Linked DNA regions of Oryzias latipes. The protein of the gene in region 2 interacts with the protein of the main gene of each other region in a pairwise test. Links are inferred from orthologs where the notes say so. Each region holds a gene or a part of one and is shown on either strand. Other genes may lie near its edges.

Evidence for each region.
Region 1: the proteins of meox2 (region 2) and chrd interact in binary tests that used the Homo sapiens proteins (3 or more experiments, as listed by UniProt). The two-hybrid records come from large-scale screens. The link is inferred for Oryzias latipes from reciprocal best matches to the Homo sapiens genes MEOX2 and CHRD.
Region 3: the proteins of meox2 (region 2) and unc45a interact in binary tests that used the Homo sapiens proteins (3 or more experiments, as listed by UniProt). The two-hybrid records come from large-scale screens. The link is inferred for Oryzias latipes from reciprocal best matches to the Homo sapiens genes MEOX2 and UNC45A.

The regions. Positions count from the first base shown.
Region 1 is NC_019871.2:18,974,222-18,977,974, reverse strand, and holds the start of chrd (chordin), read left to right. Parts: upstream 1-1,045; 5' UTR 1,046-1,414; coding exon 1,415-1,559; intron 1,560-3,753. UniProt on the Homo sapiens protein: Dorsalizing factor. Key developmental protein that dorsalizes early vertebrate embryonic tissues by binding to ventralizing TGF-beta family bone morphogenetic proteins (BMPs) and sequestering them in latent complexes.
Region 2 is NC_019874.2:31,200,236-31,203,888, reverse strand, and holds part of meox2 (homeobox protein MOX-2), read left to right. Parts: intron 1-2,661; coding exon 2,662-2,834; intron 2,835-3,653. UniProt on the Homo sapiens protein: Mesodermal transcription factor that plays a key role in somitogenesis and somitogenesis and limb muscle differentiation. Required during limb development for normal appendicular muscle formation and for the normal regulation of myogenic genes.
Region 3 is NC_019864.2:22,119,326-22,122,354, forward strand, and holds part of unc45a (protein unc-45 homolog A), read right to left. Parts: intron 2,960-3,029; coding exon 2,788-2,959; intron 2,680-2,787; coding exon 2,379-2,679; intron 1,485-2,378; coding exon 1,390-1,484; intron 1,263-1,389; coding exon 1,121-1,262; intron 989-1,120; coding exon 848-988; intron 717-847; coding exon 589-716; intron 525-588; coding exon 344-524; intron 265-343; coding exon 149-264; intron 1-148.

The DNA.
Region 1 (3,753 bases), on a different chromosome or scaffold from region 2:
CATGTGATTTTTTTTTCTAGCTGAGTTTAAATTCTGTTTTATGCAAAGGATGCTCTGGTTGCAGTGAGACAGTCGTAATCCACATCTGGCCTCCCTTCTCGCCTGCTTAATGAATCACCGAGCGAAGAGAATAGTGTCGCTTATCACCCTGTGATGGAGTGCTAACAGCCCATCATCGGTTTGGTGTTGAGGGGCGCTATGGAGGCGCGTGAATCCCCCCCCCCCCCCCCCCCCCCGCCTTGCTAAGGCTGCGTAAGGTGGCTCACATGCTTTAACATAACAGCTGCAAGGCGCACTTTCATGCGCCAGAATAAACCCAAAACAGTCTCTGATGTTTTTATAATCATAGTATTGGTATGGGCTTATGAGTTCATAATGAACTTTGTCATAAATCAGTCAAAAAAGAAGACTAATGACACACAGACACACGCACACCAGGAGACTTATGGAAGTTGACCCGCTCCACACTCTGCTGGATACGTTTTCCAGACATGTTGCATTTTCTCATAATGTGAGGCTAACGTTGGCAGCAAACTCAACTTCTGGCACCTGCGCATGCCCAGGGATGCCTGATGAGTTGCGTAAATCATAAGGCTTCCTACAGCGTCCAGGAGCTTCACAGAAACCTTAAAACAGCAGAAAAAAACGGCAGAAGACGGATCTGTCTCAAAGAATCCCAAACATTTTCATTTGTTACTGTTAAATCACTTAGGCCTGAGCTCCAGTTGAAAAAATAAGGAGCGCATTCCTTACTGTACATGATCTGGAGATTCACTCTCTCGCTCGGCAGGAGCGCTCATAGAACTCCGCTTTCTGTGGGTGTCAGATGACTTTGGTGAGCTCTTCCACACAACCAACAAGTGTTCCTTCAGGTTTTATGGCTGCAGAGTGTGAAATCAAAGCAGAGCAGCCATAAATCTATGAGGAGACCGAACGACAATCTGCCCGATAGGCGAACATTTGGTCCTCATCATCATCACTCACATCAGGAATGAGGAATCCCCCGAAATCCAGGTTTACGCAGTACGAGTCATTTTCGTCAAAATTTAGAGATGATTGCTGAAACGCAAAACGATTCCTCAGCAGAGCTATTTGCATATTATAAAGTCTCACGGAGCTGTCCATTTCCTCTCCATCGCCCACCCCCACCCATCTTTCATCCCACCCTTCCCTCCTCCCTAACGGTGGCTGCTTCAGGCTGTCAGCGAGGCAGGCTATAAAACCGAGAGGGACGGCTCAGAGAGGAGCCTGCAGCTTTTGAGTAACTGCCTCCGCGCGGAAAACATCTACCCGACTCAAACTTTTGGATATTTTAAGGGAAACTCACACGTGGGGCCTCTAAACGCGCGGGAGTCATTGGTTTTTTGTTTGATCAAATCAGGCGTTTTCGGAGAACCTTTTCTGGAGATTTGGGATGCTGGTTCCCTGCGCGCTCCGCTCCCTGCTGTGCGTCCTGAGCTGCGCGTGGTGGCTTCACGCGGGACAAGCATCGCGGCTAAAGTCTCCAACTCTGCCCATCCAGTCGGAGAGAGAGCCGCTGGCTTCCAAAGAACTGGAAGGTAAAAGCCTCACACGTTCAGCAAAGCTGGTTGAAATGACGGCGACAGGTTGACGTCAAGCTTGAGCATAACCACCGGAGCTCCGGTGTGTTCTCTGGTCCGGTAATGGATCCGTTATATGACAGAAGCGAGTCCGGTTCTGTGGTCTTCAGCTCTGATTTTCTGATGATTCTCCACCAGCGTGTTTCCCAGCTGTCCCACATCACTGCTGAACAGCCAGACGGTTTAAGGTTTTAATTGACTGAACACACCTGATGCAGGTAATTAGCAGCAAACAGGACCCGGATGTTCGGAAAACATGCAGGATGACAGAATTCCAGGACCAGAGGAGAATGCATTAAACCAGATTTACATGGAATGACCTCAAGAGGGCAGCTGCGAGTGTTACGTATTTTGATGTTGGTGTTGAATGTGTTGTGCTGGCAGCGGGAGTCCAAAACATTTGTGGGGGGCCAGAGCTTTTGTTAAGGAGAATTAAACAGCTTTGACTGTGAAGAGGCAAAATATGAAATATAGATGCTTCATTGCTAATGTATTTTTTCTTTCTTTCTGTATTTCGTTGGTGATGGATTCAGCAGAAAGCATCCAAAAATTTGTCTTCTAAGAAGTTTTAGAGCAAAAATATATAACAGGATTCTCATGATGGTTGAGTATAACACGTCTGGAAACATCCGTCTTCAATCGCTTACTTTTTTAAACTGAACATTCTCCATGAGAACTTTTGTGTTCCTGACTTTTCAGAAGAAAACCTGACAGACGTCTCACTTATCTGTCCATCATCCATCCTCTGATGTGCAGCTAGTTTTGCCTGCAGTGAAAAACACAAACTGACTGAATCAGCTGTTTAGCATTTCTCCCTGTGTGGTGGTGGTGTTGTTGGTGGTGGTGGGGGGAGGGTGTTGATTTATGGATTTAACCAGGCACAAATCACTTTTCTGTTGGGGTGGCCATTGACTGTATACGAGAACTGGACTGAGTGACCGTTCCCCCCTGGCGTTCAAAACAACAGCTATTACAGTATTTTAACTTCTCAGAGTAACCATTCTTGTTCTGCTACATTTTTTTAACATGTTCTTGATAATTCTCTTTTTTTAGTGATATTTTTTTCTGTAGTTCAAGTTATTCAATTTACTAACTGACCAATCAGATGCCTCAATAAAAGTAGGTGGAGCCTGCTGCCCGCCTCATCCAAACGCTCAGAATGCATGACAGATTTTGTGTAGCCCGCTTTCAAGTGGTAGGGGTGTGGCCTTCCAACAAACTGTATTGCATAAAGTGATGACTAAATTGACTTGGTTGGGCTCTCACTCACCGCAGTTCTCTGAGAGGGTCAGGGGGTGGCCAATGAACCCCCCCCCCACACACACACACACACACAAACACACACTCCTGTGCATTTGGCAGACAATTCTCCTTGCTTTTGTGAGACTGTTGGTGTCTCATTGCAGCCTGTAAACGGGCATGGTCATGAATTTATTTTGTTTCTATACATGAAAACTGGGGCAGATGGTTGTTTCTAACTAAAGCCTGTGAGACAGAAACAAAAATCCCAAGTCTGCAAAAAATGACCCACAGATCAGAACATTTTCTCTATAAAAGCTCCTGGGCGCGCATGTTTTGGCTATAGAAAGCCGTAAACGTCTGCATCAGCGAGGGCCTTCAGGTGGGATTCATGTGTAAAAGTCCTTTCCCTTGTTGTGGTTTAAGGTAACAGTTCCCGCGCTTCAGAACAGCGGGAACTCCCTGTTTAACACAGCCTCACACTGTGCAGCTCAACGCTGGAAACTGTAATCAATTGAATTTCCATTACACGCACTGGCTCCTCCGAGATGATGCATTCCAGCAGGGAGAAGTGGCAGGCGGAGCGGACGGCGCTCAGCTTGGCTCCCTGTGACGGTTGCTGAACTGCTGAAGGCATGCAGCCGCTCTAATGAAGGCCTAATGTGAACCAGGCTGACAGCAGCAGCGAGCGGGACCGGCCTTCAAACCCCGTTTATGTCCCACGCACAGCTTACAGGCAGAAATAACTGTTATAGTCCTGCAGGACCTCACTGCTGCACACACTCATTATGCCTGCAGTATAGTAATAATGGCACTAAATGCTGTTTTGATCTGCTGTAACAGAACTCCTTAGCTTTCAGATCAGACCTGAGTGTTTTATGTCTATGGTTGCATTAAACATAATGAAAATGAC
Region 2 (3,653 bases):
GTCCTGGAAAAATAAGCCTCTGAGTGGAAAAACCTGGAGCCGAATTCTCCGCAGGTCCGTCTGCTAAACACGTTCTGCTCAAATAAACAGGCAGAGCCAAGAGCCACATCTGCACTCGTCACCTCCAAAGGGCCGTCAGCTGACGCGGCGCCCGGCTGCAAGCGTGAAGCAGACGGCCACATGATAACAATGAGGGCTCATCTGACTGCCGGCGTGATCGAAAACCCCATCCCAGGAATGACTTCCTGTCACGGACCGTAAACAGGAAACGCCCCCAAAAAAACCTGAAAACAACTGAAGGAGAGATTTCAAAATAATGAACTGAGGTTTGGGATAAATTTAAGAGATGACTAAATATTAGATATTAAATAAATAAAAATTATATTTTCAAAAAGTTCACTCTGAATTATTTCAGGCTAAAAATCATTTTTAATTAAAACATTAAAAAAAATTTGTTTTTTTTAACTAAAAACTACTTCAGACTAATTTCTTCTTTGCAACTCAAAATGAGTATATAAGATAATTAGGATAAAATATAAAGATTACTTTGTGATCAACCAAAAAATAAACAAGAGAAATGTTTAACTCCTGAATTTGTGGGTCAGAGCTTCGTCTCTTTGGGCTCAGAGAACCTCTGTGGGGATCAGCTGAGCGGTTCCGCTGTAGTCGCAGACAGAACCGGAGCGGATTCATGTCAGGGTGTTTAGGGATGTTTTTTCCGCTGGTCTTCGTGGTCCTGAAGCTTTGCAGACGACACGTTTCTTTGATTCTTTCAACCTTCATTGGTCACTACAAAGGTTCTGATTTTCTGTGAGCATCCAGACTGAAACCACTGGACATTTCATCCAGAAGAGTATAATCAAAGCTTTTCACTGTGCCTGCTGTCAAAGAGGCTTTTTAAAGACAAATCCATGGATCTCCTGTAACCACTTTATTTTTTATTGACACCGTAAATGTTTGTGACTGAGATCTTTGTTCCTGAATGTAGTAGAAGTTAACTCACAACTGTTGACAGCAGTGGAAGTAATCTGGTTTCTATCCTATACCATCATTTATTCTGCAGGAAGTCCAGATGAAAGTCAGAAGGAGCCGGCATGACAGTTTTTTTGTGTTTAGTCTTCAATCGCTTTGAGTGTTGCGATCCCGTTTATGGGTCGGCCTTCCTGATCCCTTTTCCAGTTCTACGGGCTCTGAATCCCACCGCCGCGCTTCTCCCCACGCCGATGGTCAGAGCGGGCTGCTGACTCAGGCAGCTGTCTAAATATCAGAACCCTTCGCACGAGACCCTGCTCACATCGGGTTTCACCGTCCGGGCCAGAAACCGGAGTGAAACCTGAATTTAGATGCAGCAGAACCTGAGAAGTCCCTTCACGTTGAACCCATTTCACCCGTTTGTTGGTGTTTCCTGCCGTGAAGCGGCGGCGTGAGCGGATGAGTCGGTGGTATTTAGTTTCAGGGAAACTGCCCCTCTTTCCCCCTTTTTTTGGGGGGGGGGGCTCGGGCCTCGCAGAGGGAGGGCAGCTCAGCCAAGTTTATGGAGCTGTCAAGGGAGTGGTGGCGCTTTTAAAAAGTTACCAGATTTTTTTGTGGAACAATAAAAGGTGCTTGAAGTCTTACTTTGCGGAGGCATCGTCGTAAAAGAGCAGCAGGAAAGTGTCCGATGCCTGAAAAAACAAGTCTGAGAAGAAAAGCCGTTTGTCCTGGAAAAAGCAGGAGAAAAGCTCGGAGTCGTGTGTGAAGAGCTTCCCTCACGTCCCCAAACGGCATGCCCCGTCTGGGTTTCCTATGTTTTTCTCAAATTATTCCGGCTTTTTTTGTGGCAAGATGAAAGTTGGAGCAGGGACCTAATTGCTGTGGTGTAGCGGCTGCGCCATAAAAACCTTCTGCTGGTTGTAACTCCAGCCCTGCTCGGCGGCTGCGTTACGCTCCGGATTTTCCTTATTTTTTTTTTTTTTTGGTCTTTTGAGGTGGTGTCTGAGGGAATCGGGGAGAGCAGAAGTTTCAGAGATGGAGTCAAGGTCAAAGGTCACCAGAATGCCAGCGGCAGGCCGGGAAGTCACGTGTCTAGTGTCGGAACATCTCAGGAGGAGGACTGCATCTCAGAGACAGCAGAGAAGCTGCAGGTCCGACGGCAGGAGTAACGCACAGAACCGGACCGCAGATGAATTAGCCGGCAGTTGCTGCTGCCATCCACCACCGTCTGCACTTGAAGCTCATCCAGCAGACAAACCGCAGCTCACAACTGGAAGGTTCTGGAAGCCAAACGTGTTTTCTTTGGAAAGTTGTGGGAAATATCCACAACACAAAGCGTTTCTGCAGAGCTGGAGGGACCGCGACTCTCCAGCCTGAGTTGTGCACTTTTGTTGTTTGAAACGATTCCGCCTCCTGAAGGAGGATTTTCCTGACAACCAGTGAGTTTAATGAAATGAAAGCTGCAGATTCTTCAAATCAAATCCCTGTTGGGAGTGAGGGCCCGCCTGCAGCCGGGGGCCTCGCCGCAGGCCGCCGCCGCATGTGCTGCTGTCGCCCAGCCGCTGAAAGAATTCGGAAACACTGACAGGCCGCTCTCCCCGGTGCTTTTAGTTTGCCCCACTGTCCTGCACCTGCCCCCCAGCTCTGTAAATCTGCTCCCATACCAACTCGACCCTTTTCTGCTTTCAGAGTCCCAGGACGGGAACTACAAGTCTGACGGCAGCGGCAAACCCAGGAAGGAGCGGACGGCCTTCACCAAGGAGCAGATCCGCGAGCTGGAGGCCGAGTTCGCCCACCACAACTACCTAACCAGACTAAGGCGCTACGAGATCGCCGTCAACCTGGACCTGACTGAGAGACAAGTAAGTCGCAGCTTGGTCCCCCCGGGTTTCCCTCCATTAGCACATTAATGCCGTGTTGTGAAAACAGAGCTGGCCTCAGGACGACGACTGGCTCTCTGTAGCTCCGTCTGGGGGCTCCAGATGTGGCCACGGGACGGGGGCTCTCATGTTCCAGATGTTCCCTCGGGCGGAGGGAAGTTCTGTGGAGCTCGCACTTCCCAACACCAGAGCAGCAGACAATCGCTTCAGGGAAGGAAGCGGCCCACTACCTGTTGTTGTCGGGAAACCTTCTGCAGGAAAGGCAGAGGAAAATCCACTGCTCCCCAAAATATCACTTGAGCTTTTTTATGCTGCTTTTCAAATCCCAACCACTTTTGTGTTTTTATCCGATTTACTCTTAAAACATCCACAAAGAAAATGTCCCAAAATGGACTTAATTTGTGTTCTTAGATGTTTCTAACCTTTTTCTTCTCCTCTTTGTTGGCAGCAAACAAACATCAGAGACATTTTTCCTCCAAAGTAGATCCTTGAATCAAATTCTTCTATCGTTCCCAAAACTGCAGTTAACAGTCAAAACAAGCAGGTTGTGATGATTTTATCGGCATTTGTTTCCTGGAAACGGATCCAAGTCGACGCCGTTCTGACGGGTCTGTTATTTATGAATCTTTAGCTTCATTCATCAGAAACGCTTTAAGGATTATTTGAAGAATGAAGGTAAATTTGAGCTTTATATGATTTGAGATCATTTACACTTTTTAAAATTTCTCTTCTGGGTGAAATAACCCAGTGATTTTACTGAAAAATGTTGAATATTTTTATAAAATAAATTCAACTTAATGT
Region 3 (3,029 bases), on a different chromosome or scaffold from region 2:
AGGGTCCCCAGGACTTCTTGCTTCACCGCGCACAATAAATTAATACTTTAAATACCTGGATCGACAAACCGTGGGAATAAATGTGTCTATTTTTTAACCAACTGATATGAGCAGTTTTACAGGGGAAGACTTCCCCCTAGTGGCCAACCTGAGTCTTTCACTGATGCCAGCCAGGTTGGTGAGTGCCATTAGTGCTTCAAAATTCTGCAGCAGGGTGCAATTGAGGCTCAAAAGGCTCACAAGTGGACGCACGACTTCATAGATCTGAGGGGAAAAATGAGGTTTGCAAAGTGAAATAAATATCTCAAAGAAAGTTGTTTGCATTACTATCTCCCATTCTTACCCTCTCTCCTGGAAAAGCAATCTCTGGATTGGATGTGATGGCAATTTTTGCCAGGGCTTGTGCAGCTTTGACTTTTCCTGCATCTGTGTTTTCGGTTGCGAGTGGAATCAGAGCTTTCCCTCCACCTTGGGCCACCACGGTTCCCCTGTCTTCCTGCCGTTCTACCAAAGCCAAGAACACCCTGCCAAGGACACGTGACGTTAAGCAACAGAGAGGGGGGTCAAACACACATTTTCCTTCCTTACCTGGAAATACACTCTTTACAAGCCTCAGTGAGGGCAGGACTCTCTTGTTTAACCATGCAGGCCAATGCAGATACAACTCCAGCTTCAAGGAGCTTAACCAGCCTTTTCTCCACATAAGAAGGTGCATCCTGACACATAAAGGGTAAGGACAGTCAATTAAAACTCCTGCAAAGTCCGATTCATATTCTATTTGATTATTAAGGATGGATTTTTCTGGCAGATCTACAAAATAAGGCAACACAAAAATGAAGAATCCTACTTTGGGGTGCTCCTCAGGCACATGCTGCTTTGCATACTTGGCAAGCTCCACCATCTGGGGGTCTGGTTTCTCTACTTCATAGCTGTTTGTGCAGTTCACTAATGTAGAGCCCACAGCGAAGAGCACAGTCTTATCTTCAGACTGCACAACCACAAAAAAAACAACAACAACAACACATTTTTCAGCCACCATCCAAAACAAGGTTTCATTTTTAGATTTCTTCTCTTCTGTTTGGTAACTATTTAGAGAAACTAATAAAATAAACAGGTAAACCTTTGCCAGTTCAAACATGGCCGTGAGAGCGTGCTTGTCCTCCACCAAGTCTTCCTTTACATCAGCATCAAAAGTCAGGTAAGCGAGCCCTTCCACAGACCAGCGGCGGGAGGTTGGAGGTAGAGACTCGTTACACAGCCACCTAACAGAGGAGAAAAGTGAGGCCAACTCCAAGTCTGTATCACTTCACTGCAGTCATGTCAACAAGTCAGAAATGATCACATTTTTTTAATTGAATTCCAGGTTCGGATTAGAGCATGGAAACCTACTTCCTGCACTGCTTGGCAAGTTTGCCCGTGGATCCTTCTGCAAACTGCTTCATGCTGAAATCTGTGCCTCCTGCTGACCCAAGCTTGCACAGACCCTGCGATAACATTAAATGATTAGTTTTATCTGTGACCAGAGGAATGCACAACTCTGTGGAAGCACGTTTATGCCACAAAGGTGGCTTTAAACATTTAGAGACTGAGATTTTTTTAAATGAATTATAGATTGAAACTTTTGAATTTTTAATAGGTTGAATTATTTTTGGAAAGCCCCTCAACTAAGGGTTCAAAAAATAAATGATGGCGCACTTCCTGGTTGTAACAACAACACTTGCCTGACATAATACACTGGGTAAAGGTTCAGCATAAAAAAAACAATTAGCTGGAAGCCAAAGTTTGCAAAGAAAAATAAGAGTTTACTGTTCTGTGTGGACCAAAGAATTGATTCTTCTAGTCTTATTTTTAACTTAAATGTTTCTAAGGAGAAGGGTCTAAATATTTGACTAACACACTGGTGGTGTATAAACCCAGGAGACCACAACGCTCGCAAGAAAAGAGGCTGCCTTTGCTGCTCAAAGTTTATAAATAAATAGTGGGATGGTAATTTTTAGCCTGAATGCAGCTCAACTTTGATGCCAACAAACCTGATGGTTTTAGAAATAAAGCATTCATCGCAGTTTTTTTTCGTGTCAACTTAAAACCCAGCTCTGTAAGAAAGTCTTATACGTACTTTTAAATACATTTAGTATCGTATAATAGTGTTCATCGTATTGAATTTAACACTTTCATCTTTCATCTTTCAAGTTTGACGTTTCTCAAAGAATTTTTCTTTTATTACTTGAATTGCTGGGTTGCCATGGATATCTCTGAGGCATTTTGAGATCGTATTGTTCAAAAAAGTTGCTAAATAAATAAAGTCGCCTTAAAAGATTAGCCTGCGGAGAGCTTCCTTTCACTAAGCAGTACTACTTCCCTCTATATGAAGCACTTACCACCAGGGCTCTCACGCGTATCCTGTCATTCTCGCTGGTCTTGTAGAGGTCTTTCAGAAGAGCCACGCCATTGGCTGTGATAAAGGAGGCCCTCTTGGCTTTGCCCGCCGCGTGTATGAGAGCTTCGACTGCTATTTGCTGGTGAGTAACATCTTTGGAGGCACAGAGCGAGATCACTGCATCCATCATTCCGGACATTTCTAGAGTTCGGTTTCCCACATCGCTTGGCCCTTGAAGGAGCACAGACACCGTTTGGATGGCGCGCAGCTTTGCATCTAGAGCAGACTGGCTAAAATGTTGCCTAACCACACAAAAAAGGAAAAATGTTTCAGACACTTAAGAATAACTTTTGCTTAAACTAAATAAAGAGCCAAAAGTTAGTGGAAAGTGAAATATGTGTTTGGCTCACTGAATGTATTCTTCACATATTTTGTTAAAGTTCTCCCTCTCTTTGTCACTCTTCAGGTCATCGTAGAGTTTGCTAAGCAACACAGAGCAGCTCATGTGAGTGTTGTCCGTAAGAGGTGGTCCATCTGAGAGTTCAGGAATGCTTCCGGCAACCTGCAGGATTTTCTTCAGCCCTGCAAGACAGCAAAGTGTGCTTTAATGTGCAATGGAGTGCAGAAAAATCACTTGCCTATATAGCAAGTA